Elephas maximus indicus: one gene and its partners. The protein of the gene in region 3 purifies or fractionates together with the protein of the main gene of each other region. This does not show direct contact. Links are inferred from orthologs where the notes say so. Each region holds a gene or a part of one and is shown on either strand. Other genes may lie near its edges.

Evidence for each region.
Region 1: the proteins of CAPZA2 (region 3) and SVIL purify together in Homo sapiens (affinity purification with mass spectrometry; 3 studies listed by BioGRID and IntAct, counting the BioPlex papers as one, with this or other methods). This does not show direct contact. The link is inferred for Elephas maximus indicus from reciprocal best matches to the Homo sapiens genes CAPZA2 and SVIL.
Region 2: the proteins of CAPZA2 (region 3) and CRACD purify together in Homo sapiens (affinity purification with mass spectrometry; 3 studies listed by BioGRID and IntAct, counting the BioPlex papers as one, with this or other methods). This does not show direct contact. The link is inferred for Elephas maximus indicus from reciprocal best matches to the Homo sapiens genes CAPZA2 and CRACD.
Region 4: the proteins of CAPZA2 (region 3) and KIAA1671 purify together in Homo sapiens (affinity purification with mass spectrometry; 3 studies listed by BioGRID and IntAct, counting the BioPlex papers as one, with this or other methods). This does not show direct contact. The link is inferred for Elephas maximus indicus from reciprocal best matches to the Homo sapiens genes CAPZA2 and KIAA1671.

What each region holds. Positions count from the first base shown.
Region 1 is NC_064822.1:24,550,353-24,558,113, reverse strand, and holds the start of SVIL (supervillin), read left to right. Parts: upstream 1-4,740; 5' UTR 4,741-5,830; coding exon 5,831-5,891; intron 5,892-7,604; coding exon 7,605-7,662; intron 7,663-7,761.
Region 2 is NC_064823.1:105,074,049-105,081,164, forward strand, and holds the start of CRACD (capping protein-inhibiting regulator of actin dynamics), read right to left. Parts: upstream 3,019-7,116; 5' UTR 2,852-3,018; intron 1-2,851. UniProt on the Homo sapiens protein: Involved in epithelial cell integrity by acting on the maintenance of the actin cytoskeleton. Positively regulates the actin polymerization, by inhibiting the interaction of actin-capping proteins with actin.
Region 3 is NC_064826.1:32,826,440-32,833,922, forward strand, and holds the start of CAPZA2 (F-actin-capping protein subunit alpha-2), read right to left. Parts: upstream 3,002-7,483; 5' UTR 2,859-3,001; coding exon 2,820-2,858; intron 2,654-2,819; exon of another isoform or gene 2,332-2,653; intron 1-2,331. UniProt on the Homo sapiens protein: F-actin-capping proteins bind in a Ca(2+)-independent manner to the fast growing ends of actin filaments (barbed end) thereby blocking the exchange of subunits at these ends.
Region 4 is NC_064840.1:31,707,398-31,714,846, reverse strand, and holds the start of KIAA1671 (uncharacterized protein KIAA1671 homolog), read left to right. Parts: upstream 1-4,449; 5' UTR 4,450-7,449.

The DNA of each region.
Region 1 (7,761 bases), on a different chromosome or scaffold from region 3:
CCAGATTAAGGATCTGCGTACATAAATAAAATCCATCCAAGAAAATGAGAATACCATTTATGGCTGTTTCTTGCATATAAAATACTCCTTTCCTAGGCTATAAAAATATATCCGTCACTTCGGAATTTCACTCTGGCAATCTGTAGTTGATTTCATTAAAGTCATTTCTGTGGTAATTTTTTTTTTTTTTTTTTGGTTTTAGAAATGTATCAGTAACTCACAGACTGGATGCTTTCAAACTGTTGCTGGTCATAATTTCACTCTGCCATGTATTGCCCATTTCAACGTCAGCTCATTTCCGGTAGACTGGGAGTGCTTCACCGGCTGCTCAGCTCTAACAGGGGCACAGGGTGACGTTACCCACGCCTCTGCAGAGTGTGTGCTACACCTGTATCTCCTTTCAATATGCAGCTCAGTGTGTGGCTTAAGTAATGTGCTCCTTTTTCCAGAGCGCTTCCATGTCCATCCTCTCATTTAGTCCTGACCTCACCTTCATAGCGACCTCTTTGGTGATGTTTGTGCTGACCAGTGAATGGTTGTTTTGCTGGCACACACCGGTACCAAGGGCCTTTAAATATACATTTTAACTAGTCCATCTAGGCTTCAGTATTTATTCTCCATCACTCTGTATCTCAGTTTCCTCGTCTGCAAATAGGAATGGTTATAGGCTCCCTCTCAGGCTTTTGAGAGGGTCAGATGAGCTTAATGCCCTCAGTGGAGCCCCTGGGTGGTGCACTCAGTTAATGCACTTGGCTGCTAATGGAAAGGATGGTGGTTCAAATCTACTCATGAGTGCCTCGGAAGAAAGGCCTGGTGATCTACTTCTGAAAAATCAGTCATTGAGAGCCCTGTGGAGTACGGCTGTACTCTGGCACATAAGAGGTCGCCTTGAGTTGGAGTCAACTCGAGGGCAACTGGAAATGAGTTTAGAGCATTTGGTATCATGCTGCCACCTGGTGAACACTGGGACAGGTAGGCGGGGCTTATCTGTATTCTTTACGTCTTTACACCAGGTGTGATAGACAATGGCTAGTTGCCAATTGGGGTACTCAGCTTTTTGCCTTTTCATTTGCTTCACTTCCATTTTCTTTACCATGCTGACTGCTAAAATAGAGCTGCCACATGTGTTGCAGGGGCAGATGAAGTGTTGTCAGACAGAACAACTGACAGGATATCACTACTCCATACAGCCTCCATGTCATCTGGAGCCACAGCTGTGAACTGAGCTTAATACCATGATCCTTTGTGATCTAATGCCTTGTCTTTTGACCGTGACAGTTGAGGTAATCATTCTCACCTGGACTCCCACCAACATTGTCCACATTTGGACTACAGGACTCATCTTCCCTGTTTTTACTCAGCAAATCCTTAATATCTTCTTCCTGCTTCTCCCTGCACACAAATATATATGTTCCACATCATCACGTCACATTTTAGGAACAATAAGACTACTTTAGTAGGAGTATCAAGGTGAGGAAAGAGTGGTGACAATTTTCCTTGATGCCACCTAGTTAGGAAATAGAGTTGGCTACTCATCTAAGAATGAGGAAGAATAGAAGTGGTTTCATTGCTGGTCTCTTGATTAGTTGAATGAATCCATCAATATTTGTAGCTTACTTGCTCTGATCAATGCACTGTGCAAGGCAGTCTGCAGAATACACACAGGGAGTGTGTTTTAGGTCTTGCCCTTCGAGTTTTTATAATCCTTTAGCTACGAAACCAAACCAAAACCAAACCTGTTGCCTGCCATCAAGTCAATTCCAACTCCTAGAGACCCTATCATACAGAGTAGAGCTCCCCCGTAGGATTTCCAAGGCTGTGATCTTTGCAGAAGCTGATTCCACGTTTTTCTCCCCATGAAGCAGCTTGTGGGTTCGAACCACCGACCTTTCAGCCAGCAGCCAAGAGTTTAACCACTGCACCACCAGGGCTCCTTAGCTAGGAGACAGTGGAGATTTTTTGTCGGGAAAAGTTTGATTGTTAATAAAGAAATATTGAGAGGGAAGAAAATGTATAAAAGCGTTTTAACAGGTGAGTTCAGTGTTGTTAGCAAGGTGAGGTGGTCCAGGCTCTTCCATGCATTATGGCCCACCTGGTGCTGAGTTTGAGAAAGACTGTATTTGATATTATCAGGGACATCAGTGGTTGTCTGGGTCAACGTCTTGATTTATAGCCAAGAAGATGCACATGTGTGGAAGCAGCAGGCAGGTTGACATTGTGCTACAGCTCTGCGGATGCAAATCCATTCACAGCAGTGTTTCTCTTAGTATGTGTCCCCAAGCCTAAGCCTTGAGAATTTTAAGAGGTCCAATTGCCTTCATCTTCATTTGTACTTAATTGTTTTGGTAACTGTAGAACTAATTCATGTATGTTGTGGAAACTTAGAGAATAGAGATGGCAAACGTGAACAGAGTTACCTCTGAGCTGTGAACAGATTAATATTTTGGCCCATTTACTCTTTCTGACTAGGGGTGTCTGTGTATCTAATATAACATGAAAAAAATCCAAATCACTAATTGAATTCAAAACCTGCTTTTATTGTGTAATTTCTTTATGCATCCCACTATTATATCCCCTTATTTAGATTAGTTCCAGATTTATACATTTATAAATAAAACTGTGATAAACATTTTTGTACTCCCTCATAGTAATTTCCTTGGGTACATTTCTAGAAGTAGAGCCATTGAGCCATTGTTTCACACAGTCTACAATGTTGCATAGTAATATCCATGTCCTGTCCTTCTCCAGTGAGGTGGGAGCCTTGGGAACGGAAGGAAGAACCTTAGAGTATCAGTTGCTTTCTTGTATCCACCTCCCAGTTGGCACACTGACTTCTGTCCTTGCCTTAAATCTTTGGATAGGTCTTAGCTACTCATGCCTGGGATAATTAGACCCAGAAATCATATTAAAAAAAACAAACCAAACCCAGTGCTGTTGAGTCGATTCCGCCTTATAGCGACCCTATAGAACAGAGTAGAACTCTATAGGACAGAGTAGAACTGCCCCAAAGAGTTTCCAAAGAGTGCCTGGAGGATTCGAACTGCCGACCCTTTGGTTAGCAGCTGTAGCACTTAACCACTATGCCACCAGCGTTGCCAGAAATCATATAAGGTTTGGGAAAAGCATCCAGTAGCTAGCCTAAGCACCCCTCTCAGTGTCAGAGCGTACCCAATAGTTAGGCCTTTACCAATTAGGCCAGTGTAGGCTATAGGGCTGTCTCCCAACAACCTCCTTTTCTCCCTTTTTGTTCCCATTTAGCCATGATCCTACAATAAAATTGCTACTACAGTTATCCATGATACATTGTTTTTTGCTGAGTTTTTTTTTTTTTTTTTTTACTGCCCTATTTGCCATCTTTTCTTCCCTTCTTATAAGAGTTCAACTAATCAGCCATATAGTTGTTGTTGTTAGGTGCCATCGAGTCGATTCTGACCCATGGTGACCCTGTGTACCACAGAATGAAACGCTGCCCGGTCCTGTGCCATGCTCACAATCATTGTTATGCTTGAGCCCATTGTTGCAGCCACTGTGTCAAACCATCTCTTTGAGGGTCTTCCTCTTTCCCGCTGCCCCTGTGCTTTACCAAGCATGATGTCCTTCTCCAGGGACTGATCCCCCCTGAAACATGTCCAAACTATGTACAACATAGCCTTGCCATCCTCGCTTCTAGGGAACATTCTGGTTGTACTTGTTCCAAGACAGATTTATTTGTTCTTTTGACAGTCCACGGTATATTCAATATCCTTCACCAACACCACAATTCAAAGGTGTCAATTCTTCTTCGGTCTTCCTTATTCGTTGTCCAGCTTTCGCATGCATCTGAAAAAAAAAATTCGATTGAAAATATCATGGCTTGGGTCAGGTGCACCTTAGTCTTCAGGGTGACATCTTTGCTTTTCAACACTTTGAAGAGGTCCTTTGCAGCAGATTTGCCCAGTGCAATGCGTCTTTTGATTTCTTGACTGCTGCTTCCATGGGTCTTGATCGTGGACCCAAGTAAAATGAAATCCTTGACAACTTCAGTCTTTTCTCCGTTTATCATGATGTTGGTTATTGGTCCACTTGTGAAGATTTTTGTTTTCTTTATGTTGAGGTGTAATCCATACTGAAGGCTGTGGTCTTTGATCTTCGTTAGTAAGTGCTTCAAGTCCTCTTCACTTTCAGCAAGCAAGGTTGTATCATCTGCATAATGCAGGTTGTTAATGAGTCTTCTTCCAATCCTGATGCCCTGTTCTTCTTCATATAGTCCCCCTTCTTGGATTATTTGCTCAGCATACAGATTGAATAGGTATGGTGAAAGGATACAGCCCCAACGCACTCCTTTCCTGACTTTAAACCATGCAGTATCCCCTTGCCCGAACCTGCCTCTTGATCTATATAAAGGTTCCGCACGAGCACAATTTAGTGTTCTGGAATTCCCGTTCTTCGCAATGTTACCCATAATTTGTTATGATCCACACAGTCAAATGCCTTTGCATAGTCAATAAAACACAGGTAAACATCCTTCTGGTATTCTCTGCTTTCAACCAGGGTCCATCTGATATCAGCAATGATATCCCTGGTTCCAGCCATATAGAAAAATAGCCAAATGCTACCACTGACCCTCATAGTAACCCGTGTTGGCCTACTGTATGTTTATTACCTTAATTAATTTAGCATATAATTCTCCATTTTCAGTCTAAGTTTGTATTTTGGAAATCAATTTAAGTCGATCTGGTATGAAAAAAAAAGGTATGAAAGCATAATCTAAAACTAATAACGTCACTTAAGAATGCAATCTCTAGCTTTTAGAAAAGTTCATTCCATGATTTCATATTGTCATTCAGCAAACATTTACTGAGGGCCTGCTGTGCACCAGGCATAGTGTTCAGTACTAAACATACAAAGATGACCAAACCGTGGTCTCTGTCTCTGGGTGGGGTAGAGGGCGAATCACAATCTTGAACCCACCTCCACAAGAACAGATGGTTCTATCAGTAACAACTTGTCTACCCATAAGCAAGTAATTTCTTTAGCTCTCTGTTCCCCTTATCTTGTAAATGAGACGATTTCTGTGGGTTCTTTAATGTCCCTTTTACCTATAAAACTGTCAGTCTGTAATGATGGCAAATTTTTCTTGGCAATGCAGTATCGCTGCGTGGGCCCACCAGGTACACGTTGCCGTTAAAAGCTAACAGGGCACTGTCTAGTATATAATGCTTCACAGCTTCTGTCTCAAGTTAAAGCGTTTGAATTTCTAGTGATAGCTGCCTTTTCTTTTCCCACAATTTCGCTCATATGTTGTTCATAAATCTTAACTCTTAATTATGGGTTTTGGCTCCCTGTTAGGTAAAATACTTCACTTAACGATATTAGCCAAAGCCAGGCGTGGAGCAGCCTGGAAACAGTTAGTTGGCTTCTCCTCTCCCCCATATCTCCAGAGTCTTTGTTTGTGTTTGTTTGCCTGTTTATTTTTAGGGAAAGGAGGAGTTGTGTTTGACTCCCCCGAGGATGGTTACTTAGCATTGTCTACTTAGCTGGAACATAAGCTGTGATTTATCTGTGGCTTTGAGGTAGTAATATTATAAAGGTCCAGTTGCTGGAGCCCTGTCCGTTCCGGCATCCATAGGCCTAATTTCTGCTTGTAATCTGATTACGGGTCTGAGCTGTTGCAGCCTGCAGTCTTCTGCTGTGCGCTGAGTGTGTTCTCAAGGACACCAGAGCCTGATAGCTCAGCCCTGCCTGCACTGAAAAATCTCAGCCCAGCTTTGCTTAGACAGGCCTGAGGCCGTGGCTGGTTGAGGATCAGCTGTAGAGCTGGGTCTGCTACTGAACCTTTCTGTGTGCAGCCATGTTCAGAAGCCCAGGGATTTCCAGTTATTTGGGAGCTTTCAAGTTCTCTGAGAAACAAGGTAAGGCCAGAGAGATACAAGATGCACTTGTATATTTATTTTAGAACATAATGAATCCTTGGCTCCTACTCTTTACCTTGTATTTTTCTCTGTCCCTATAGTTATATTGTTTTCTCAAAGGACACTTCAAATAGCTAATTGGTTTTATAAAGTACCTTTGTCTTTCGGGTGTTGAAAATGTGAGTTTCTTTTTTTTTTTTTTTTCTGTTTTAAGTTAAAGATATTGCTAAACCACTCAAGCTTTTATGTAGGAAAAATGGCAAGTTAAGTTGGAATGCCCAAACTTTGGATCAAGTTCTGGCTATGTTGCTCTCTAGCTACAATGTTTTTCTAAAGCAGATGCTGTGTATCCTAAATTATTTCCAGTAGGCAGTGGTGAGTGTTCTGTCTTTTTATTAAATCTTCATGGGAGACAGTTTGGAAGAAAATACTGTCGTTTTAGTGCCTTCCTTTTGAGCACAAAGGAAAATGTATCCTTTCAATTTAACTACTGAAGTGGTATCGCATATTCAGTTCCCTGATTGAACAAAAATGAAATGCTGAGGCTATTTTGGATATCCAATTTGAAATTCAGCCCATGGTAGAGCAAAAGTGTTTTTGAGCACAAATGCACCATTGGGAAGTGAGTTGAACAGTTCAGACCTTAAATTCGCAATTTTATTCTACAACAGTTGATAGCTTTTGGAACTACAAGTCCCCTTTTCTAAAATATATAATGAGATAGTTGTATAATTAGGAGAAAAGCCTAGATGTTTAGTTGACATTCCACCTTTCATTTCTATTGCATTTCTGTAGTAGCTAGAGTTTCCAAATTCCATAATTAAGGATGTGAGTCGATGGGTAATGAAGTGTCAGCATCTGACGTATTGTGTACCTCTTTTTTCCTCAGACTTCTGCCCTCAAATATTAAACAGTGAAAGGGACTTCCTTAAGGGAGGAAGTTTCTGTAAGTGGTCTGCTTGTGGTTTTCCTGGTGGACCAGGGGTTTTGTGCCAAGAGCCATAAAACAGATGACTTACCATTAGACTGGTTATGAATTTTGCCTGTGCCTGGTTTTGATTAACCCCTTCACTCAGGATGTATGTTTTCCCTGTATGGAATTGTTACCAACTGACCTTACATAATATATGTCTTGTCTTCAGAAACAAACAACTAAGTGGCTAATTTGATGTGGTGGTGTCCTTTAGATGTTAATGAAAACAATAGAAGGCGCCGCTAAGCATGACCTGTTCTCCACACCCCTCTCCCCCACCTTTATTCTTTAAAATACCTCAGAGCTCTCAGGCGGTGATTATTTTCAACATTTCTGTTTACCTTGACCAAAATTATTTCATCTTTTGCTGCATTTTTTTTTCTGAGCCCATAGCTAGATGATCCAGTGTTTAGTCACTTTGAATCATCCTTGTTACTATAACCAATGTAGATGATAGCATTGAACTATGTCAGAGTATGGAGTCTGTTGGCTACTTTTCAGGAGGAAAGAAACGAAAAGAAAACTTGACTATGCAGAATTTTGATGTGAAATTTGATTCTTAGAAGGGGTCGTTTTTGTATGCATATTTCTTGCCTGCTTAGCAGTTTCCGTTATCTTAAATTTTATGTCAAAAGGAATTTTGAAAAATTGTTTTTTCCCATTGGAGCTTTTATTTACTTTTGTATTTATTTTCCTTACTGTGTAACTATTTCAATGTCACGTTATTTCTCTTCCCTTAGATTTCAACAACAAAAACTTAAGCTTCATTGGATTCCCACCTCAAAGAAAAGCTCCAAGGTAAAGTGGCCTTTGCTCAAGGAATCTTAAGTTTTGAAGATTTGTAATAGCTTTTCAGATTAGCCTCTTAAATTCCTAATTCCTGAGTTTAAATGTTTG
Region 2 (7,116 bases), on a different chromosome or scaffold from region 3:
GCCCCACTCTTCATAGAAAGACACCAAACACAATTAAAAAAAAAGGTCACCAAGCTTTCATAAACTATACTGTATTTTTACACAAATAATGTCCACCTTCTGCGTCTGCTTACCAGCCCTGCCCTTCCCGGCATGGTATTTTCCTAAGCACGCTATGCTAATTTTTATTTTATAGCAACACGGGAAGAGGATTGGCATGGCGGCGCTTGTTAAGGGTGCCTCACTGGGGAAGTGTGAGGTTGGCAAACGAACGCAAAGGGCACGCATTATTTTTGTAAAAATACGGCATGTGGAAACACTGCACAATTCTTGGCACACAGGCCTACAATAAATGTTTATTAAACTAAAAAAAAAAAGTGTAAATCAATTCCATATGTATGCATGTTTTATTCATCTATTTTTTATTTTTCATTAATTTATTTTTTTTAACACAACTATTTATTGAGCACCTACTATGTGCCAGATTAGAAATGTGGACTAGAAAAAAAAAAAGTCCTTTACCCTGGAGAATTTCATATTCATTTCAAAGATAAATTTTTCCAATATTGTGTAAGAGAAAACTGTAAACCCCTGCTGCCTTATTCAGCAGTAACAATAACATATTTATCATGTTGTTGTTATTAGGTGCTGTCGAGTCGGTTCCGACTCATAGCGACCCTATGTACAACAGAACAAAACACTGCCCGGTCCTGTGCAATGCTCACAATTGTTGTTATGCTTAAGCCCATTGTTGCAGCCACTGTGTCCATCCATCTTGTTGATGGTCTTCCTCTTTTTTTGCTGACCCTCTACTTGACCAAGCATGATGTCCTTCGCCAGGGACTGGTGATCCCTCCTGATAAGATATTTATAAAGAACTATGCAATAGCTTTTGATTCTCACACCAATCACCTAAGAATGTCAAATAAGCATTATCTTCCTGAGTCCAAAACCAGCGCTCTATAAGTAAGTACTGCTAAGACTTTAGAATGAAAGTTTCTTAATGTTAGATGACTGTAAAAATGAGCTTTTGAAGAAAATACATTTTAAATAATCAGTAGAAAGAGGCAATCCAGTAGCACAACTTCTTCCCTTTACATTTACGAGTTGAAGTACTCTCGGATGCAACCATATCACCTGTATAAGATGCATTTTTTCAAAACGTTTCTTTAAAACACCTACCTTTGAATTTTTTTTCTTACAGGCAATTTTCTGTTAAATATACTGAACTAGGATTCAGTTTTCTCATAAAATAAAAGAGATAGTAGCCAAGGTATCTTCGCTTTGTTGACTTGTTAAAAATACTCAATATTGACAATTGTGCAGGCAGTCCCCAGGTGACAAACATCCGGTTTATGTACAACCTCTATTACGAACCAATCCCTGTAAAGCCTATTAAAAATTCGAGGTACATACAATGGTTCATAATAACAAATGGGTGCTACTTTTCAATGTGCATCAAAATACTATTGTTATTATTACTGTATTATGTTAAAGATGTTTTATTGTATCTGGAAGTGTTCCTTTAATGTTTTTATACATAGAAAGGTACACTGTATACTAAGACAAACAACTGACTAACTGACCTTAGATACAAACCCTCCCTAACTGTTCTGACTTACATAGGAATTAGACTTAAAGACAGATTTAGGAGCAGAACTCCTTTGTAAATCTGGGGACTGCCTATATTCAGATTCCTGAGTCACAATGCCAAATAAATGTTAGCTATTTTATATATAATTCAACAGCTGCTATAAGCGCTTTTTACAGGCGAACATTGATTTAACTGACAACTTAATGAATTGAAAATTTGCTACAGGATATTTACTAAGATCCTTTTATTAAAATTGTCTTATCCTTTGTATCCTAACCACTCCCTCTCCACCACCAACACACACACACACACACACACACACTCCCTCACCTACACCAGATCAGTTTCTGAGCCATTATTCAAAAACCATATTAAAATTTCACAACACATGGTGGTTTCCTACTAGGTTTCCTTTTTCCCCCAGGCCCCCATCAATGGGTTTGTAACTAATGTTCTGTCTTAAAATCCAGAATTCAGAAAATAATTAGGATGCCTCCATTGTAAGAACATCTATTATAAAATTCAAAGGTCTGCCCTTCTGTTTACTGATAACCAAGAATAAAAGCCATGCCTCACCCACCGTATTTGTAGGGTTAGGAGGTCCAATCTCGCCGCTACAGAGCTCTGCAAGAAAGGACGGTTATAGCACCAGGAAAACCATCGCAACAACCCCTGCGAGATGATAAGGAAAACACATTTTACACCACTGGCAACGTGCAGTCTCCGGGCTCCAGTTCTTAGTAAACAGGGAAAACCTTTGTCTTGCTTCAGCCATCAAACTGGTGGCTCATTAGAATTGGGGCAACGAGAGTTGGTGCGAAACGGCTTGGCAGAGGTTAAACAAAGCAATGCAGCTCTGGGGGAAGACAGGGTTGAGCCTGGTCAGCGTCCGAGGTCCCAGACGGCGAGGTCTCCGTCTGCCTCCCGCCGCAGCCGGGAGTCGCGCGGGGGACGCCCGGGACAGGATGCCGAGGCGCGGGAAGGAGAGAGGGAATTACAAGATCCCACGCTCTCAGCAAGTTCCCCGGGCGCAGCCCGACGGCAGGTCCCCTTGCCTGGGATCCAAAGCCGCGCACCCGGCGCGCAGGTCCGCGCCCCCCGCGCGGGTACGCCGCCCCGAGAGTCCACCGCCGGCCGTGCCGAGCCCACGCCCCCAGCGCAAGGTCGGGAATCCCGGGGTGCCGAGGGGGCCCGGCTCGGCGGGTCGCGAGTGGAGAGGAGAAGCCCACCCGCTGTCCCCATTGTCTGGTCCTGGCCCCGGGCCGAGAAGGCGCTCACCTGAGGTGCCCGGGGCGGCTGGGCGGCGACGGGCGGTCCCGGGCCGGCGGCGGACGCGGCTGCACAGCCCGCGGAAGCCGCCGCAGCAGCAGCAGCACCAGCAGCCGCAGTAGCAGCAGCACTAGCAGCAGCGCACTCGCCTCTCAGGCGGCCGCGGCCTCCATTGCTCTCCCCGCCGTCGCCACCGCGCGGCAGTGCGCACCCAGCCGGGCGCGGCGCGGTCACATGCTCCGCCAGCCCCTCCGGCGCTCGGACCCGCAACTCGGCCCCGCCCGGCCTAGTCCCCGGGTCTGTGGGCGCCGCCGCGGGCACTGGACGCCCCGGGTTCCCGCTCCCGCCCTCCGGGAAGGGCGCGCACCGGCCGGCTCCCAGGAGACTGCCGTTCCCGGGGGCGACCAGAAACAAGAAGCGTGCCACAGGGAAGGACGTGGGATTGATTAATTCTCTTCCCACCACTGCAGAGGATGACCTGAGGGAGGATTGGATGTGCCGGGTCTGAGGTCACTGTAGTGGGCTCACAGGGAGGCCGCACCTTGCGTGGGACAAGAACCCGGACCGGCAGTCAGCACTCCACGACATGCGATTTCGGCCCTTGGTACCTGGACTAACTGGGGCAACCTTGGCCCCAGAGGGAGTCTCGCCTTTTGGCGATCCGCGCCCCCCCCCCCCCCCCGGAGAGCTGCCAGCCGTGGAAAATAGCACTGGGACTCCTGTCCAACAAATTGGAAGTTGCCACCCTAAAATAGAAAAGATCGAAATTCCATTGCTGACTCTCTGTACATCTGAACAGAGTGACAGTGACGTTGGACATTATTTTCTCCAGCCATTATGAACTTAAATATTGACGTTAATGTGTTAAAGAAAATAATTGCCATTTCCTTTTGTGAGGTAACGGGAAACATTGAGAATTTTTCTCTATATTTTTTGCTATGACTAGTTCGTTGGAGTTCTTGGAAATCAGTTTCTGATGGTCTTTTTGTTCACTGTGAATGCAAAGATGTCTTTAGGAGTAATTTATTGTCATTATTAAACAGGAAGCTTAAAACATTAAAAACTCTGGTAATGTTGAAAGATAAACCTCATACTCCGTTGAGTCAGATGTCCAAATGCCTAAAACAGGGTAAAATTTTTATGCAAATATATGACTTAGAAGAAGAATCATTCATACTGGGAGAATCTAGGGCATTTTGCCTTTCTAACTGGGGTTTTCTAGATAAACATTTTAATTAAATACCAGCATAAAATACGACTGTATTTTTGTGAATATGAGTGTCATTCCATTTATCGGTGCTTACTTAGGAGACGGAATTGACTGGAAGGGCACTGGGTTTGGTTTGGTTTGGTACTTATTTCAAACGATGTCTGCTAAAGTCCAAATAATAATAAGTTTTATAAATACCAGTAAATTCATTGCCATCCAGTCGATTCTGATTTATAGTGACCCTACAGGATAGAGTAGAGCTGTTCTATAGGGTTTCCAAGGCTGTAATCTTCACCGAAGCAGACTGCCACGCCTTCCTCTTGCAGAGCGGCTGGTGGGTTCCAGTAACTGACCTTTTGGTTAGCAGCGGAGCGCTTAACCACTGGGACACCAGGGAGGGTTCCTTACCTTATAAATAGTTGAGCAAATACCTTTTCCTCTGATCCAGTAGCACTAAAAGTTCCTAGAAACCAAGAATAACGAAGGTCTTTTTCTTGATACAGTCTTGCCAATTACATGAAAGTCCACTCTGTAAAAATTCAAACATATATAAATCAAGTGTAGGTCTATTCTTGTTTTATTTTGCAGAGCAAAATTTATACATCCTTAAGATATTGGAAGGGTTCTGGAGAACTTAGAGCATTCTAACTACTGGACCTTGTGTCTTATACCTGTTAAACCCATTGCCATCTAGTCAATTCTGACTCATAGCAGCCCTATCGGACAGAGTAGAACTGTCGGGTTTCCAAGGCAGTAATCTTTACGGAAGCAGACTGCCACATCTTTCTCCTGAAGAGTGACTGGTGGGTTTGAACCACTGACCTGTCAGTTAGTAGCCAAGCACTTAACCACTGCACCACCAGGGATCCTAATAGGTCTTGTGTGTCTTATAGATGTCAGAAATCAGAAGCTATCAGCCACCACTCTTCACAGCTGTTGTTGTTTCATTCACTTTTCAAACATACTGCTCCACAGCTACTACACACAGGACTGTAATAACAGTGTGGTACCCCACCCAAATATCAGTCTACTATTCCACTTCTTTGATACCTAACTCCACCACCTGTCTATGTCGGTTTGTCATACTGTGGTGACTTGCATGTTGTTACAGTGCTGGAAGCTATGCCATCAGTATTTTAAATACCAGCAGGGTCATTCATTCATGGTGGACTGGTTTCAGCAGAGCTTTCAGACTAAGATAGACTAGGAAGAAAGACCTGGTGACCTACTTTTGAAAATTAGCAACAAAAACCCTATGGATCACAACAGAATATTGTCTGACATAGATCTGGAAGATGAGCACCCCTTGGTTAGAAGGCACTACACAAGGGCTGCAGCAGTGGACTCGAACATGCCAGTGATCATGAAGACGGCAAAGTACCAGGCAACATAATGTTATCCATAGGGTTGTCACAAGTCAGAGCTAACTTGACAGCAACTAACAACAAAAATAGCTAACTACCTTTCAGTTAAGACATAGATTTTCAGAGATTGCAGTACAATGCAAAATGTCATAGATTGAATTATGTCCCCCCCAAAAATGTGTGTATCAACTTGGTTAGGCCATGATTCCCAGTAGTGCGTGGTTGTCCTCCATTTTGTGGTTGTAGTTTTATGTTAAGAGGATTAGAGTGGGATTGTAACACTACCCTTACCCAGGCCACATCCCTGTTCCAATGTAAAGGGAGTTTCCCTGGGGTGTGGCCTGCACCACCTTTTATCTCTCAAGAGATAAAAAGGAAAGGGAAGCAAGCAGAGAGTGGGGGACCTCATACCACCAAGAACGCAGCACCAGGAGCAGAGTGTGTCCTTTGGACCTGGGGTCCCTGTGCCTGAGGAGCTCCTCAACCAGGGGAAGATTGAGGACAAGGACCTTTCTCCACAGCCGACAGAGAGAGAAAGCCATCCCCTGGAGCTGACACCCTGAATTTGACCTTTTAACCTACTAGACTGTGGGAGAATAAATTTCTCTTTGTTAAAACAATCCACTTGTGATATTTCTGTTATGGCAGCACTAGATGACTAAGACGCAAAAGAAAGATGCTATTTGACAGAACATTAGGAATTTTAAAAATACTTAAGCATTTAACTGCTGTGTTAAGGATTATAGTAAGTTTGTGGGAAATTATATAGTCAAACCAGTGGTTCTGTGTGTGATTTTGTCCCCTAGGAGAGATTTGTCAGTGTCTGGAGACATTTTCAGTTGTCACAACTGGCAGAAGAGGAGGAAGGGGGTTACTGGCGTCTAGTGGGAGAAGACAGAGATGCTAATAAACATCCTACAATGCACAAGAGTCCACCACAACAAAGAAAAGAATTGTCTGCCCCAAAATGCCAATAGTGGCAAGGTTGATAAACCCTAAGTTAGACCAATGAGTACCAAAGCCTTTTCATTCTATAGTCTACCATGTCTGCACATCATCCCTTTCCCATGTCCGCACATCATCCCTTTCCCTGGGCATACATACAGAATTCTCTTACTATTCAGAGAAAAAATATAACAGTAAAATCTTTAGCGACCCTATAGGACAGAATAGAGCTGCCCCATAGGGTTTACAAGGAGCTGCTGGTGGATTCAAACTGCCAACCTTTTGGTTAGCAGCTGAGCCCTTAACACTGCGCCACCAGGGCTCCATTTTGCTAGGAAGAGAGGCTAAGGAACTGAGTTAGAAACAAAGCAATTGTACAAATAAAGGTCATATAGGTAACAAAGACAAAAAAGATAGGAAAAGCTAAAGTAGTAAAAATATTGTGCTGTCAGAACTATCTTAAGTGTTCTTGCAATTTCTTCTGAGCGCTTTGTGTCTTCCCAACAGCCTTGATCTTCGAAGTGAAAAGATTGAAGTAGACAGACCATAGTTTAGAAACTTTACATTTAAAAAACCCATTGCTGTCAAGTTGATTCTGACTCCTGGCAACCCGGTAGAACTGCCCCATAAAAATAGGGTGGCATAAATTAGAAATTTCCTATTCACACCCGCCCCTGCCCCCACAGTGAATGGGCTGCTGTGAATGTTTGGAGTCCAAAATGAGTTAAAAACAAAACAAAACAAAAAACCTCAGT
Region 3 (7,483 bases):
GAATTCATTGTATACATAACTCACACTCCCTGCTCATTCCCACTTTCCTGTTTTTCTTCCTATGTTGTGTTCTCTGGCACGAGCTTGAACCCCTACTGATGTCTAGGCAGAAATAAATTTTCTGTCTTTTGAATTTCCAGTCACACAGAACTTTTAAAAGTGTTAAACAATAATAAACTTTGTTCTAAAATGATCAAAGTGCAAATTAAGTTTAGAACCCAACACTATTTAATGTTTGGCATTTACAATTTTTACTAAAAACAAAAACAGCCATTGTTTCTCCTTTTTCAAAATAAGCTGTCAACAAATTTAAAACAAGAGACAAACCCAGAAGAGGTTTCTATCATCACCTGTCTGAGGTGGAGTAAAGCCACAAAAGCATGAACCCAAACTCAGGTACAAATACCACCTTTGCCACTTCCTACCTATGTGTCCTTGGGTGAGGTAAAGCTTTTGAAACCTGACTTGACTTATCTGTGAAATGGCAACAATAAAACTACCCACCTCAAACTTACAACAAATTAAGAGATGTACGTACCGTCTAACCGAGCCCGGCATATAGTACATTTCTATATAAATCTTAACAACCTCCCTTCCTTAGATCTGCAATCAATATGAAAAATCCCAAAGTTTAAAAGTATATTTTTGAAAACTGCAAACAAGGTGGCAGAAGAGTAACATGATTTAGCTATTAGTTAAAAAATACCACCTTTAAATTCTCTCCATTTCTGATCCTATACCAACATCCTCTTCCAAAAAGATTAAAAGAACATTCAGATAACATGACGTGACAGTTTAAAATTTTACTTAACTAGTTATTTAAATTTAACCCAAAAGTTTGCTGTTTTTCTCAAATTAGTAAATAAGTTTAGTCAGTGTTTTTCTCAAATTAGAAATCTATATACAGAATACCAAAAGAATATTCTTACAAAACTAAAATAAAAAATTACAAAAAAAAAAAAACCCAAAACTAAAACACCAAATTCCTTTAAATTAAAATTTTCATTCATTTAGTCATAAAACATTGTGCTAGGCAAGATTAGAGAATAAGACCCCACCCTCTATGGAGCTTAGTGCCCCGAAGTAATAAAGAATCTTATCTCATTAAAAAAAAATAACTTTGCTATTTTAGGCCTTTACAACACATGGCAGGCCTATATTAACTCCTGCAGCGTTACTCTCTCCTCAGCTAGATTTCTAGCCACTTCAGATACTAATCACCACCAGTTAAGCCCAGTAAAATAAAAACATGACAATCTCTCTAAAAACGTTTTAACATGACTTAATTTTAAATGTGTGTGTGCATGCATATACACTTTCAGTTACCAGCTCACGATTATTTACCAAAAACACACGAGAATACTGCACAGCAACTACCCCGTCTGTGGATTATAAAGAATCTTGTAGTTCTTCCCATTTTGTTGTTTTACTATCGCTTCTACCAAAGAGCACAGAGAAAAAAAAGATTTCCAAAAATGAAGATGAGGTTGGCTTCTGCTCATTCAAATGGGTAGGGAGATAAAGCATTACATTTCAGTACAACACAAAAAAAAAAGGATATAAAAACACTTGGAGCACAGAGTTTCCAACTGAAAATATCCCTAGGTTGACGTTAGGATTTTTTAAACACCATAATGTAACTACTTATCTTTATTACACGGTACTGCATTGGAACTTAAAAAACGAGGCACTGTTAAATTAAAAGTGGGCTTTCTGAACACTATAATCACCTTATTCATGTTACTCACATGTTACGTCAGTTACTTCTGAGTTTGAGAAACGTCAAGGTCCTTTCCCGGGAATACTCAAAATTAGTGTCCCCCACCCTCCCACTGAGGAATGAGGCCTCACAGTAGCCAAAGGAACGACGAGTAAGAGAGAACTAGTTCAATGATCAGATTTCTTATTTTAAATGTTTAAGAATTTAGTTGTTCATCTGGTTCCACCGTTGTCACAGCATCTAAGATACAGTAAAAGGAGCTGCACAATCCACTCTCCCTTCGGCAGAAGTCCTAGTAGAAAGATGGGACGCCACCAAATCGGCTCCCTGGGGGGCTGCTGCCAACCTGGGCAGGAAACGACTATGGGGGGGGGGGTGTCGAAGTCATTATGTGAGCAACTCTGCAGCCTCTCAGGAACAGGGGAGGTGCAAAGCCTACAGCTAAAACCAAAAAAAGAAAGGAAAGACCTCCACCGGGGAAAAGAAAAAATCATAGAGAACTAGAAAAGGAAGCATTTTGCTTCTGGAAGGGGGGAGGAGAAGCGAGAAGTAGAAGATCTGCTTTCTAGGCGATTTTTTCCCCTTCCTTCTCATCCCGGCTTCACTCTCAGGCCAGCCCCTCGGCTGGGCACTGCCCGTCAGCCGCTCCCAGGCCTGGACACAGACCCCTTGGCAGTCACCAGACCTGGGCGCACGGCCCTCACCCTCGCCCGCAGGGCCCCGGCGGAGAGAGAGGGTCCCTGCGGCAGGAGAAGGTCCCCGGCGAAGACGAGGTCCCGCGGCGCCGCCCTCCTCCCGCCCCCGCCCGCCCGCCCGCCGCGCCGGGTGTCGCAGCCGCCGGCTCCGGCTTCCTATTTTAGAAGCACACACCCTACAAGGAGCGGAGCAAGCAGGCCTGGCTGGATCCTGCCGCCCGCACGGGGCCTCCGGTGACTGACAGAGGCAGGCACTAGGGCGCAGCGAGGAAAGGGGGAAGGAAGGGCAGCCCAGGGCACAGGCGACGGCCAATGCCCCTCCTGGGCGGCCAGACACTGGACTGATAACGCCGGGGCTGTGCTGGCTTCCGACGGACAGGCTCCGCCGCCCCCACGGCTCTTACCTTCTCCTCATCAGACAACTGCTCCTCCAGATCCGCCATCTTTCTTCTGGCGACAAATCGCGGCGGCGGCGGCGGCGGCGGCGGCAGCGGCCACCTGACTTCCCCCTTTCCGTGAGTCCTTCGCGCCGCGCGCCCCCGCTGAGGGAAGGGCGTCCGTGCCGCCGCGCACGCGCCCCGGGAGCTCCGCCTCCCTCAGCCTGGCCCGCCGGGCCGGAGCGCTTTGTGCGCCTGCGCGGAAATCCCGGAAGCCTGCCCGGGGAGGGGGGAAGGAGTCAGCGCCTACCGCCGCCTGCCGCAGGCTGGTCAGCGTCGTGGGCATAAGATTCTCTCTCCACCGGTAACCCTATGGGTCCATCTTGCAACGAGTACGTTCCGAGCCCTTGAATATTTTCCTATCAAGTGCTGAACTCTACCAGCTAAAGTGTGAAAAACTGCACGAATGGACGCTTTTAAGCATTCGGTTTTTTCCCCTAAGCATTAGAAAAAACATGCAGCGTTAATTGTAATACGCGCACACAACCCAATCCATAATTGGAAGATTGCCCTTTATTGGGCCTTCATTGTGTGCCAGGCACTGGGTTAGTCTCTGGGTATATACATTGGTCATTAAACAAATTGAGCAGTTGGGGGATGCACTGTATAAAGTTACGGACGACATGGACCCTATGCTCCTCAACAGGATTGCCAGATTAAATACGGGACTTCCAGTAAACTTTGAATTTCAGATAAAGAATAAATATTTTCAGTATATCCTTTGAAGCACTTAAAACATACTTATAAAAATTATTTTCTGAAATTCAAATTTTACTGGACGTCTTTTCTTTTTATTTGCTAAATATGGCCCTCCTGCCCCCCCCTTTTTTTTTTTTTACCCCGGTAGCTATGAGTCAGAATCGAAGTAAGGTGTTCATCAATATTGTTAGAACTGTTTTTCGAAGAAAAAACTAATGTATCCAAGTTGCACAGCTCCTAAGTGACAAAGCTGGGATTGGAACCCAGGTATTTTATTCCATATCCCACGTTCTTTCCACTGTAAGATCTTTCTTTCTCTCCCTAAGGTCTGAGCACTCTCCCCCAAACGGAACTTGGTGAGGTGATTACTCACCTCTCCCATCAGTTCTGTTCACCACCACCTGCCACATCAACAGTACTTCTGGGGTTTCTTTTCTTTCTAGTTTTATTTAGCAACACCTCCTAGCAATAATCTGTACAAACAAGTACTCAGTAAATGTTGCTTGATTTGTTGCTTGTTTAGCTGGTTGTCCTCTTCCTCTGGAAACCTCATCCAAATCTGGTAATGGTTTGCAACAGTTTGTCCGAGCATGTTTACAGTCGTAACCTTGGTGATAGTTTACATGTGGCTTCCCATGATGACACAACCAGCAGTTTTGTCTAATTCCTGATAATCCTTTCAGTAACTTCCCAATATCACCCTCTTGATACAGTTAAAAGGAATAAAATTCACATAACCTAGGAATTGGGGAAGATTTTAAGCAGTCGTGTAAAACTGGTCTAAATACGGGATGACCATTATGTGACTGCAGGGAGAGATATACTGGTATTCTGGATAATCAGTTGTTTAATGATAAAGAGAAAAAGAACAAAGTATTTCTCTCACATACGATTTACTTACTAAGTGAGAACTTGCTACCCTTTTCTTATTTAATTTCCAAACTCACCTACCTTCTACTTATTAGTGGTGTGACTTTGGCCTTTACGGTTAACTGCACCAGAACCTGATCTTTTCTTTCTTTCTTTCTCTCTCTCTGTCTCCCTCTTTCTTTCAAGTTTTTTCTTCTATAATGCTTGTTTTGAAGTCCCATGCGCACTTCTTACCTGTTTTCTTGTGGATGTGCTCTGCATCCTTCATGAGATTTTAAGTTTGCCAAGGTCAGAGTCTACCTAATTTCACAGAATCACGGTTTTATTAATCCCACATATGTGGGATCATCTTCAATCCATGACTATTTCTTTTTTTCTCTTTTTTATCCGCCTCCTGTGGTACCATTAACTGATTTCCAAGGAGTGGCTGAGCTCTTAACCACTGCGTCACCACGGCTGCCTATAAAGATTCAAAAAAAAAAACCAAACCCAGTGCCCTCGAGTCGATTCCGACTCATAGCAACCCTATAGGACGGAGTAGAACTGCCCCATAGGGTTTCCAAGGCGCGCCTGGCGGATTCGAACTGCCGACCCTTTGGTTAGCAGCTGTAGCACTTAACCACTATGCCACCAGAGTTTCCATGTCCTATAAAGATTACAGCCTTGGAAGCCCTATGGGGCAGCTCTACTCTGTCTTACAGGGCTGCTATGAGTCAGAATCGACAGCAACGGGTTTAGTTTTGGGTTTTATGTGGTACCAAGGAGCCCTGGTGGCTAAATTGTCAAGCTTTTGGCTGCTAACCAAAAGGTAGCCGGTTTGAACCTACCAGCCACTCTGTGGGAACGAAGACCTGGTGATCTGCCTCTGTAAAGATTTCAGCCTAGGAAACCCTATGGGGCAGCTCTACTCTGTCATGTAGGGTCGCTATGAGTCAGAATTGACTCAGTGGCATACAGCAACAGCAATATTGTACCTAATTAAAAAATATTTATGGAATGAACTAATGAGTATAATCTCTTTGAATAGTCTTTTAAACAACATGGATAGAGAATTTTAGACTAATGTCTGACTTTTTAAAAAATCTCCCTTTATGGAAGCATGAATGAAAACTTAATTCAGGCTCTTGACCTGGAAAGGTAAAGCAGCACAAGGGACAAATTTGCTGGCAATAAGTGAGAAGACAGATCTGATGTCTTTTATTTTTTACCTTTAATATCTGATAGTGCTTGTCACTCTCATTTGCACTCAGTAATTATAATGTAGCAGAACAAGAAGTGTGTCCTCTGTGTTTCCCCAAGCCCTACCAACCTACAATAATTATTTCTCCAACTCAGGTCTAATCAAAGAATTGCAGGAATACCTGCCCCAATTCCTTACTCTTGGGTCTTTGGGGGTGCCACAGTCATTCATGTACATTCAGAAATGCTTACTCTGCCGCCTTCCTCCTTCCTCTGACATCGACTTATATCACCTCTGCCACTTCCTATCTCATCAGACCTCTCCCAGTGTTACAGCTCTGACATCTCCCCTGGCGCTCCCTCCCAGGACGTATGACTCAGTGCTCATGTCACCACATCCTCTCCTTCTTGTGACATTAACTGCATCCATCACAGGTAGGTGCTGGACCATCCCCAGCCACTGTCCCAGGCTCTGTGGTGGGGCACTCGTTTTTTCTCCAGTCTTCTTCTGTAAGCTCTTTCTCATGGACAAGCTGTAGCAGATCCCCTCAGATCTCTTTTACTGTTTCTGTGCTTCACAGCCTTTTGGCCCCCACTTAACAGTACCTGCAGTTAATCTTTGGAGAATTGCTCTCTTGTTACTGGGGCTGCTTTGCTAAACCCAGAGCTGGGAGCTTAGGTCCCCTGGGGCAGTTCTTAAGCAATGACTATCAGGTGCTAAAGTAGGAAAGCTAGTTCCCTAGCCTCAAATCAGGATACCTCTGAGGTATAATTTATATTCCAGATTTCCCCTGAGGAAGTAGGCCAATCTCAACTTTATTTGTCTTTTTCCCATACCCTTTTATGTTTGTCTGTTCCCTTATTCTGGTTTCTCCCGGGAAAATTTTCTTCATCGCAGGGTCTGTTTCTGTATGTAAGACAAGCACCTATGTCATTCCATTTTGCAATATATTATAGCAGCCATCTTCCTGAAGTGGTGAAAGTACCCTCCATTCTCATTTGTATTATATTCTGTCATAATTTTTTAAGTCAAGGTTTTTAGGTTGTAAGTGACAGAAATTTGCATTGCCAAAACAAAAACAAAGGAAAGAAAAGAAGGAAGGAAAGATGGAAGGAAGGAAGGAGGAAGGGAAAAAGGGAGGGAGGGAAGGTGAGAGGGAAGGGAGGAAGGAGGAAGGAAAGGAAGGAAGGAATGAAGAGAAAATGTGTTGGGTGGCATAACTAAAAATTTCACAAAGAGGAATTGCAGGCATGGCTAGATTCTGGGGATCAAGCTTAATTGTAGGACTTGTTTTCTCTCCATCATTTAAATGTATTTTCTTTTGAACTGGCTTCACTCACAGGCAGGAATAGCTTTTTAAGACCACAACCCTAGTAAAAGAGGCCTTCACTTTCTTAACACTTCCCTCAAATCTCCCAAACTGACTCTAACTGGGTCAGTTTGGGTCATATGTACCCTTGAACCACTCACAGTGGCCAAAGAAATGAATTACAGTGATTGGCCAGATCTAGGCCCCATGCCTATCTCAAGTCAAACCCCACAGATTGAGAATGCGGGACAGGTATTTCTCCAAAGGGAAACTGAGTTGAGGTGTGTTGCCAAAAGCAGGGGAAGTGGAAACTAGGTGAATGGGGGAAAAAAATGTCTTCTAAAACATTCTACTTTTTATTCTCATTTTCTTACAGAGGCTTGATCTTGGCCATCAGTTTTTCTCCCTAGGAGAGTGGATGTGGGCTGAATCCAATTGGTGTTATTCTGGAGTCAAAACAGTTCCTTCCTTTCACGATTGTAAGCAGAATAGTGATCTCCCAAAGATGTCTATGTCCTAATTCCAGGAACCTGTGAATATGTTAGGTTACATGGCAAAGGAGAATTAGAGTAG
Region 4 (7,449 bases), on a different chromosome or scaffold from region 3:
CTAGTGTCACTTGCCTTAAATAGAAAATAACAGTAAGATTAAATACAATGAATATTTTTAAAATCTATTACTGCTGCTACTGTTGTGACTAGTGGTCTAAGCTTGAGACTGTTTTCTCTCTCTTAAATTTGGAGGTGAGCAGGTAATGGAGATGTAGGTGTTAAAGGCAAAGAAGCACCAAGCCAAGACTGTCTTGGGACGTCAACAGAAGACTCCCATGAGAATGAGAAAGAAAACAGCTGCACCCAATGTCATTCAAGGCTGAGCCTGGATATCAAGGCATCCTCACGGTTACCTAACACCATCCTGTGTCCCACATGGGCTGCCTCCCACATCAGAGGAATCCAGCACTATCCCAATCTGCCTTGTCTGTGCCAGGTGTGAGTAGGTTCTGTGAAGGGAAACTCAGAGAGGAGGGGTTTATGCCTTGGATAGGATGGGGGCAGGGCTGTAAATCTTGCAATGGGAAGACACTTGGGCTCATATCTCATACACGGTGTTATGATCGGGTAAATTGCTGAGGAAGGTTGGACGTCACTTTGGGCTGGAAAATCAGCATATGCTTCCTGGAGAAGGTGACATTTAAGCTGTCCTAAAAGGATAGGTATGTTCCTGGGTGTGGCAAACGTTTAAGCGCTTGACTGCTAACCGAAAGGTTGAAGGTTCAAGTCCACCCAGAGGTACTATAGAAGAAAGGTCTGGTGATCTACTTCTGAAAAATTAGCCATTGGAGACCGTAAGGAGCAGGGTCCTACTTTGACACATATGGGGTCTCCATGAGTCAGAATCTATATGATGGTAAGTTTTTTTTTTTTTATAAGGATGGGTGGGATTTGGGCATATGGAAATTGTGGTGTGGGCAAAGGGCTACCCACAAAGAAGAAACAGGATGAAAAACACACTAAAATCCTGGGACCCATTTGGGAAATTGGGTGTGTGTTCAGGGCCTACCGTGTAGACCAGGATTAGGTTTTGGGGGAGAGAGGACTTGGATACCTTGTCCAAGGCAATGGGCAATGGGAGCCATTGATGGTTTTAGAGGTGGGGAGTGATGTGATGAGACAGGCTTTGAGCTCTGCACATAAGGCAGTTCTTGGGCCAACAGAAGCTAATTCCTTCAGAAATTCATTTGCACTTGAAGGGAATTATTTCTTTCTGGAATGCAATATGCCCTTTTTAGACTCCCTAAAGGGAGAGCATGTTGTATTCACCTGTTACTGAGCCAAGCATTGTACCTGGCATACAGCAGGTGCTTACAGACTGTGTGTTGAATTGAGTTTAGGGGTTGAGTTCCACCTGCAGTGAACATCAGTTCCTGGCTGGTCTTCCTTCTGGCTCGCTCTTCCAACGCCAGACCTGTCCAGGGACTCTGGGCTGGCCCCAAACTTACTCTTTCTGTGAGCTACTCTAATTGGCCTTGGAAGCCTTGTGGTCAAGTTTATTATGATCATGCCATAAACCAGGGCCAGTAAAGTTTCAAGGGAAGACAAGGCCAGCCAAGTGTCCTGGTTTATTGCTCACGAGACACCTTTATTGGGTCTGCCCCAGGGGAGAGGTTGAGAACTCTGGCCTCCGAAGCTTTGAGTTGAGTCAGCATGGGACGTGCTTCCTTTAGGTGCAAAGGTCCATTCGGGATATAACAAAAACTTTTTAAAAAGTTGTACACCCTTGAACCAGCGAGCTCACTTCTAGGCAATGTTTATCTTGAGAAAATAATTACATGTGGATGTTCACTGCAGTGTTGGTTATAATGGTGAATAATTCAGAACAATTTAAAGATCCAGTACTAAAACAAACAAACAAAAAAAACCCAAATTCGTTGCCATCCATTTGATTCCGACTCATAATGACCCTATGGGACAAAGTAGAACTGCCCCAGAGGGTTTCCAAGGAGCGGCTGGTGGATTTGAGCTGCCTACTTTTTTTTTTCACCTTTTGTTTAGCAGCCGTAGCTCTTAACTACTGCATCATCAGGGCCCTGATCCTGTACTAGAGGGTAGGTGATTTGTGTAATTGATGTCGTTGTTAGGTGCCATTGGGTCAATTCCAACTCATAGTGACCCCATGTGACAGAGTAGAACTGCCGCATAGGGTTTTCTAGGCTATAATCTTTACGGGAGTAGATCTCCCAGGACTTTCTCCTGTGGAGCTGCTGGGGGGGTTCGAACTGACAACCCTTTGGTTAGCAGCTGAGTGCTTAACAGTTGCGCCAACAGGCCACCTTCCTATGCAATTGTCTCTAATATACCCACTCCTCGCTTAATTTTTTTTTTTCTTCACTTATTGACAGTTTTAGTTAGGTTCAAAAGACCAGGTTGTTAAGTGGAAACCAACGTTATATGAAAATGGAGGATGACTATATCATTACATAACTGCCAAATTTCATCATTACATAACTGCCAAGCCACTGAGAATCATGGCCCAGCCAAGCCGACACATAACCTTAACCCTCATACCCAGCATTACTCTTGCTTCATACCTTGGTGTTCGTTACTGCCAGACATACATTGTTGATGCACAAAATAGATAGTAGATTTTTTACTATTGGAAATGCAAAATGTCAGATAACAAGATAGTCAGTTAGCGAAGAGTCAGTGTAGAGTCCTATATAAGCATTAGAGTCTGTTGTATAGCTATTGACATGAAGGATGTTCATGATATATATTTAAAAATAAAATAAAAAGAGTATATGGTCTAATTCTATTTTAGTTTTGGCAGAAAGTTCCCATTTACATTGGCAGATGTCCCGGTTGACATATATCAGAATGGTAATAGTGGTTGTTGGCTCTGGATGGTGGGATTTAGGGTTATTAAAAAAACTTTTGTTCATATGTATTTCTGTATTTTAAAATTTTTTTGTACTTACCATGTAGGGCAATTGAAGAGGCCTAGTGAAGCTACAGAGTCGCTATGAGCAGAATCAACATGAAAGCAAAGGGTTTTTTGTTGTTGTTGTTTAGTGAAGGGGTGGAGTCCTGGTGGCTCAATGGTTAAGCACTTGGATGCCAACCTAAACGTTGGCAGTTCGAACCCACCATCCTATCTGCAGGAGACCAAAAACCAAAACCAAACCCAGTGCCGTTGAGTCAATTCCAACTCATAGCGATCCTATAGGACAGAGTAGAACTGCCCCCATAGAATTTCCAAGGAGTGCCTGGTGGATTCGAACTGCTGACCGTTTGGTTAGCAGCCGTAGCACTTAACCACTACGCCACCAGGGTTTCCTCTGCAGAAGAGACCTGAAAATCTGCTGCAAATATTACAGCGTAGGAAACCCTAGGGGTCAGTTCTACTCTGTCCTATAGTTTCGTTGTGAGTCGGAAGTGACTTGATGGCACACAACAACAGCAGTGAAGGGGTGGGTCTCAGCCAGAATACTGTAAGGGCTTTGGATGCATAGGAGTCCCTGGGTAGTGTAAATGGTTAACACAGTTGGCTGCTAACCAGAAGGTTGGTGGTTCGAGTCCACCAAGGTACCTCAGAAGAAAGGCCTGGCAATCTACTTCAGAAAAATCAGCCATTGAAAACACTATGGAGCACAGTTCTACTCTGACATACATGGAATTGCTGTGAGTCAGAATCAACTCTACGACAACTGATTTTAGATAAAAAGGGGGCTGTCACGTCCTTGAGGAAGTCTAGTCTCTTAGGCAACTGAGTTCTCCACAACTTAGCACCAGGGTCGGCAAACTTTTCTGTAATTATCTGCCAGAGAAAAACTAATTTTTATTATAAATACTTTAGGCTTTTTATTATAAATAAGTATTTTAGGCTTTATGGGTCGTATGGTCACTGTCACAAATGCTCAACCCTGTTGTAGTACCTTGAAAGCAGCCACAGACAGTGCACAAATAAATGAGTGAGGCTGTGTTTCAATAAAACTTCATTTACAAAAATAGGAAATGGGCCAGATTTGGCCTGTGGGCCACAGTTTGCCAATCCCTGATCTAGAAAAAAACAGTAACAAAAAAGCAGCTTGATTTTCTTAGTGAGTGCTCCAGCCAGTTCAAAAACAGCATAAACAGTAGGAAGGGGCACACCAATGAAAACTGAAAAGGCGGATGTTTAAAGAGATCTTGGCAAAAAGATAATGTTGTCACCTTCCTCTTCCAAATGGGTGGTTGCACCTGGGAAAAGGGCATTGGGCCGAAGCAATCTGGATTTTGCTTTGGCATTTCTAAAATGCAAAAATCTTGTTTAAAAAGCACCTGTTGAACCCAGTGTTCCCCCAAATCTCTTAACCATAGGACCCATTTGTGGGTGTGAATGTGACCTACCCACCTCTTTTTCCTTGGGGAAAAGCCACCTCCAGCTGTCCCTGTGGATTCTAGAAGTCTGAAATGTCAGAGGTGTGCTGAGCTTGAATGAGGAGGCCGTTTACCTGAAATTAAAAACCAAAAAAAAAAAAAAAAAAGCCTTTGCGGTTGAATCGATTCTGCCTCATGGCGACCCCATGTGTTACAGAGTAGAACTGTGCTCCATAGGGTTTTCAGTGGCTGTAATCTTGACAGGAGAAGCCCCGGTGGTGCAGTGGTTAAGCACTCGGCTGCTAACTGAAAGGTTGCCGGTTCAAACCCATTAGCCGCTCTGAGGGATAAACATGTGTCAGTCTACTTCTGTAGAGATTTACAGCCTTGGAAACCCTATGGGGCAGTCCCACCCTCTCCTGCAGGGTTGCTATGTGTTGAAATCAACTGGACGGCAATGGGTTCTTTTTTAAAATCTTTACAGAAGCAGATCGCCAGACCTTTCTTCTGCCGTGCTGCTGAATGGGTTTAAACCACCATCCGTTTGGTTAGCAGTCGGGTGCAAACGGTTTGTGCTGTGCTGAAATCAAGACTATGCTAATTAAGGCAATTCTTAACAGAAGTATTAAAACTCAGGAAGAAACTTGGCTCTCACCACTTCTCCTGCCGGCAAAGGAATTTCATTTAGTCTCTCAGCAAACCTTTTTGAGCACCAGCTGTTTATAAGGAATCATGAAGGATGTAGAAGATTTAGTTGTGTCTCAGAATACAGAAAGTGGGACTCCAGAGCCTGGCTCAGAGCCATAGTAGATAGATAGAATACAAAGCACATAGTAGTATATAGTAGGTACTCAATAATTGTGTATTGGAATGAATGAAGAAATGAAGAAATGACCTAGGACCACTGCCATGGGGACAGAGAGGATGCACTCCAACAGCATTTGACATTTCGGTGGGGCACTTCCCATGAGTGGCAGGGTGGCGGGGCAGCAGAGTCATATCTAAAGGATGGCAGGTATGGCATATGCCTTGGGCTCCACTTGAAGGGGAAGCGCCAGTGAGCAGTTTAATTTGGCCTTCACGGTTTCTACTGCCAGCTGTGAGAGATCATTCAGCAATTTAAAACTAATTGCCGTAGGCCTACTTTTCATAGATGTGCTTCTGTTTAGACCCATCTGTGGCCGCTGGGCGGACAGACCATACGCGTGTACTGCAGCCCTGCTCTTGTAGAAGGACAAGCACATGGGTTTTGCCTGTCCACTCTTGCCCCTTCACACAGTGCACCCCACGGGATAGATTTGCAGATTTAAGGGCTGAGGTCACATTCCAGAAGGTGCTGGAAGGTGTCAGGATAGGCCCACACCCATCACCAGATGGTGGCATTCCCAGGGTATGGTACCCGGAGATGACTGAGTGAATGGTTGCCGAGCGCCCAGATCGGATCTAAGGCTGTAATTATGAAAGATCGTCAGCAGCTGTTCGAATGAATCAAAGCCTCCCAGTCTGGGAGAAAAGCTGCCAGACTGCTAGGTTTTGAATGGAAGTGCTTCCCTTGCCTTCTACCTCTGTGGGCCTCTCGGATTTCCTAGGAGACTGTGAGCTCCGTGGCTGTTGCCCTCAGCACCCAGCACCCAACCTGGCATTTGACAGGTAGGCAATCCGTGTTTGTGGAAGGAGCATTGGAAGGATGGACAGGTGAATACTTTCAAATGTCTCCTGTCTGATTTCAGTAACTGTTGCTCTTGGCGACTCCCTTCCCAGGAAAATGGTTTTCTCTGCATGAAATTGCAGGAAATGGGAATTTCAAAGTTTACAAATCAATTTAGGGAGATCGAGCTTGAGGACTTGGCGGGTTCAGCAGCAGCAGAGAAAGACCCATTGCTACTGTCACTGCTTGAGGTCAGACTGATGTAGTCTCGTTCTTTACTGATGTCCGCTACGGCTTCCTGGCCTTCCAGGTGGACACCTTGCTTCCTGTCTGCTGCCCATTGCTGACCTCCGTAATAAATGTTAAAAAATAATACAATTAGAGATTGCTCAGATCAGTTTCCCTTCTTTCTTCAGCCAGTCCCAGGGAGCTCTTGTTTACCTTGCTTTGGCCATGTTGTTGTGCCGTCAGTGCCATCGGTTTGGTTCCAATCTGTGGTGACCCCGTGTGTTACAGAGCAGAACTGTTCCATAGCAGTTTCTTGTCTGTAATCTTTATGGGAGCAGATTGCCAGGCCTTTCTTTCATAGCACTGCTGGGTGGGTTTGAACCACCAACTGTTCGGTTACCAACCAACTGCAAACCATTTGTGCCACCTAGGGCCCATGGCTTCAGACATAGTGCTCAGCTAATTTAGAAAGAGTGAATGAGGCTACCCCAGGAATAGCAAGCAGCTGGCCTCTGTGTGCCTGGGCTTCTGAAATGTTTTGGAAGAGACCCACGTCTCTTAAATCAAGCATAGCATATGTGATCCATTTAAAGTGAGGTTTAAAGCCTATATTTAAATTGGTTGCCTTTTACAACAGGTTAAGTAAAAATCGGAGAATCGAGGGCTTCTGGGTTTGGGAAGGACTTGAAAATATTATTTAGCCATCCACTATCATAGCTTAGAAACTCTTTTACCTTCGTTCATTGATGTATTAATTAATTCACCGCACCATTCATCAAACCATATTGACATATCAGGCATTTGCCAGGCATTTAAAATTAAAACTGGCGAGGAAGCACAGGATATTAAACAGATTACAGACAACAGAGGCACTACTCTGGTAAAGAGAAGTGCCTACCAAGAACCTTGCTTTCTCTTCTCTCTCGTCTTGCCCTTCCCTGTGGGATGGCCCCTAAGGCAGATCCAAGGAAGCCAACCCATTGCCATCAAGTTGATTCCGACTCACAGCAACCCTATAAGACAGAGTAGAACTGCCCCATAGAGTTTCCAAGGGTGTAATCTTTATGGAAGCAGACAACCACATCTTTCTCCCATGGTGGGCCTGTGTGTGTGTGAGCGAGAGGGGTGTTCCAGAGAGCAGGCGCAGCCCGTGCAAGGCCCTGCAGAGGTGTTTGAGGACATACTGCTGCTGCTGCTGTTGTTAGTTGCTATCAAGTCAATTCCTACTAATGGCCCCCCACGTGTGCAGAGCAGAACTGTGCTCTGTAAGGTTTTCAGTGGTTGTGACCTTTTGGAAGGAGATTTCCAGGCCTTTCTTCTGAGGCT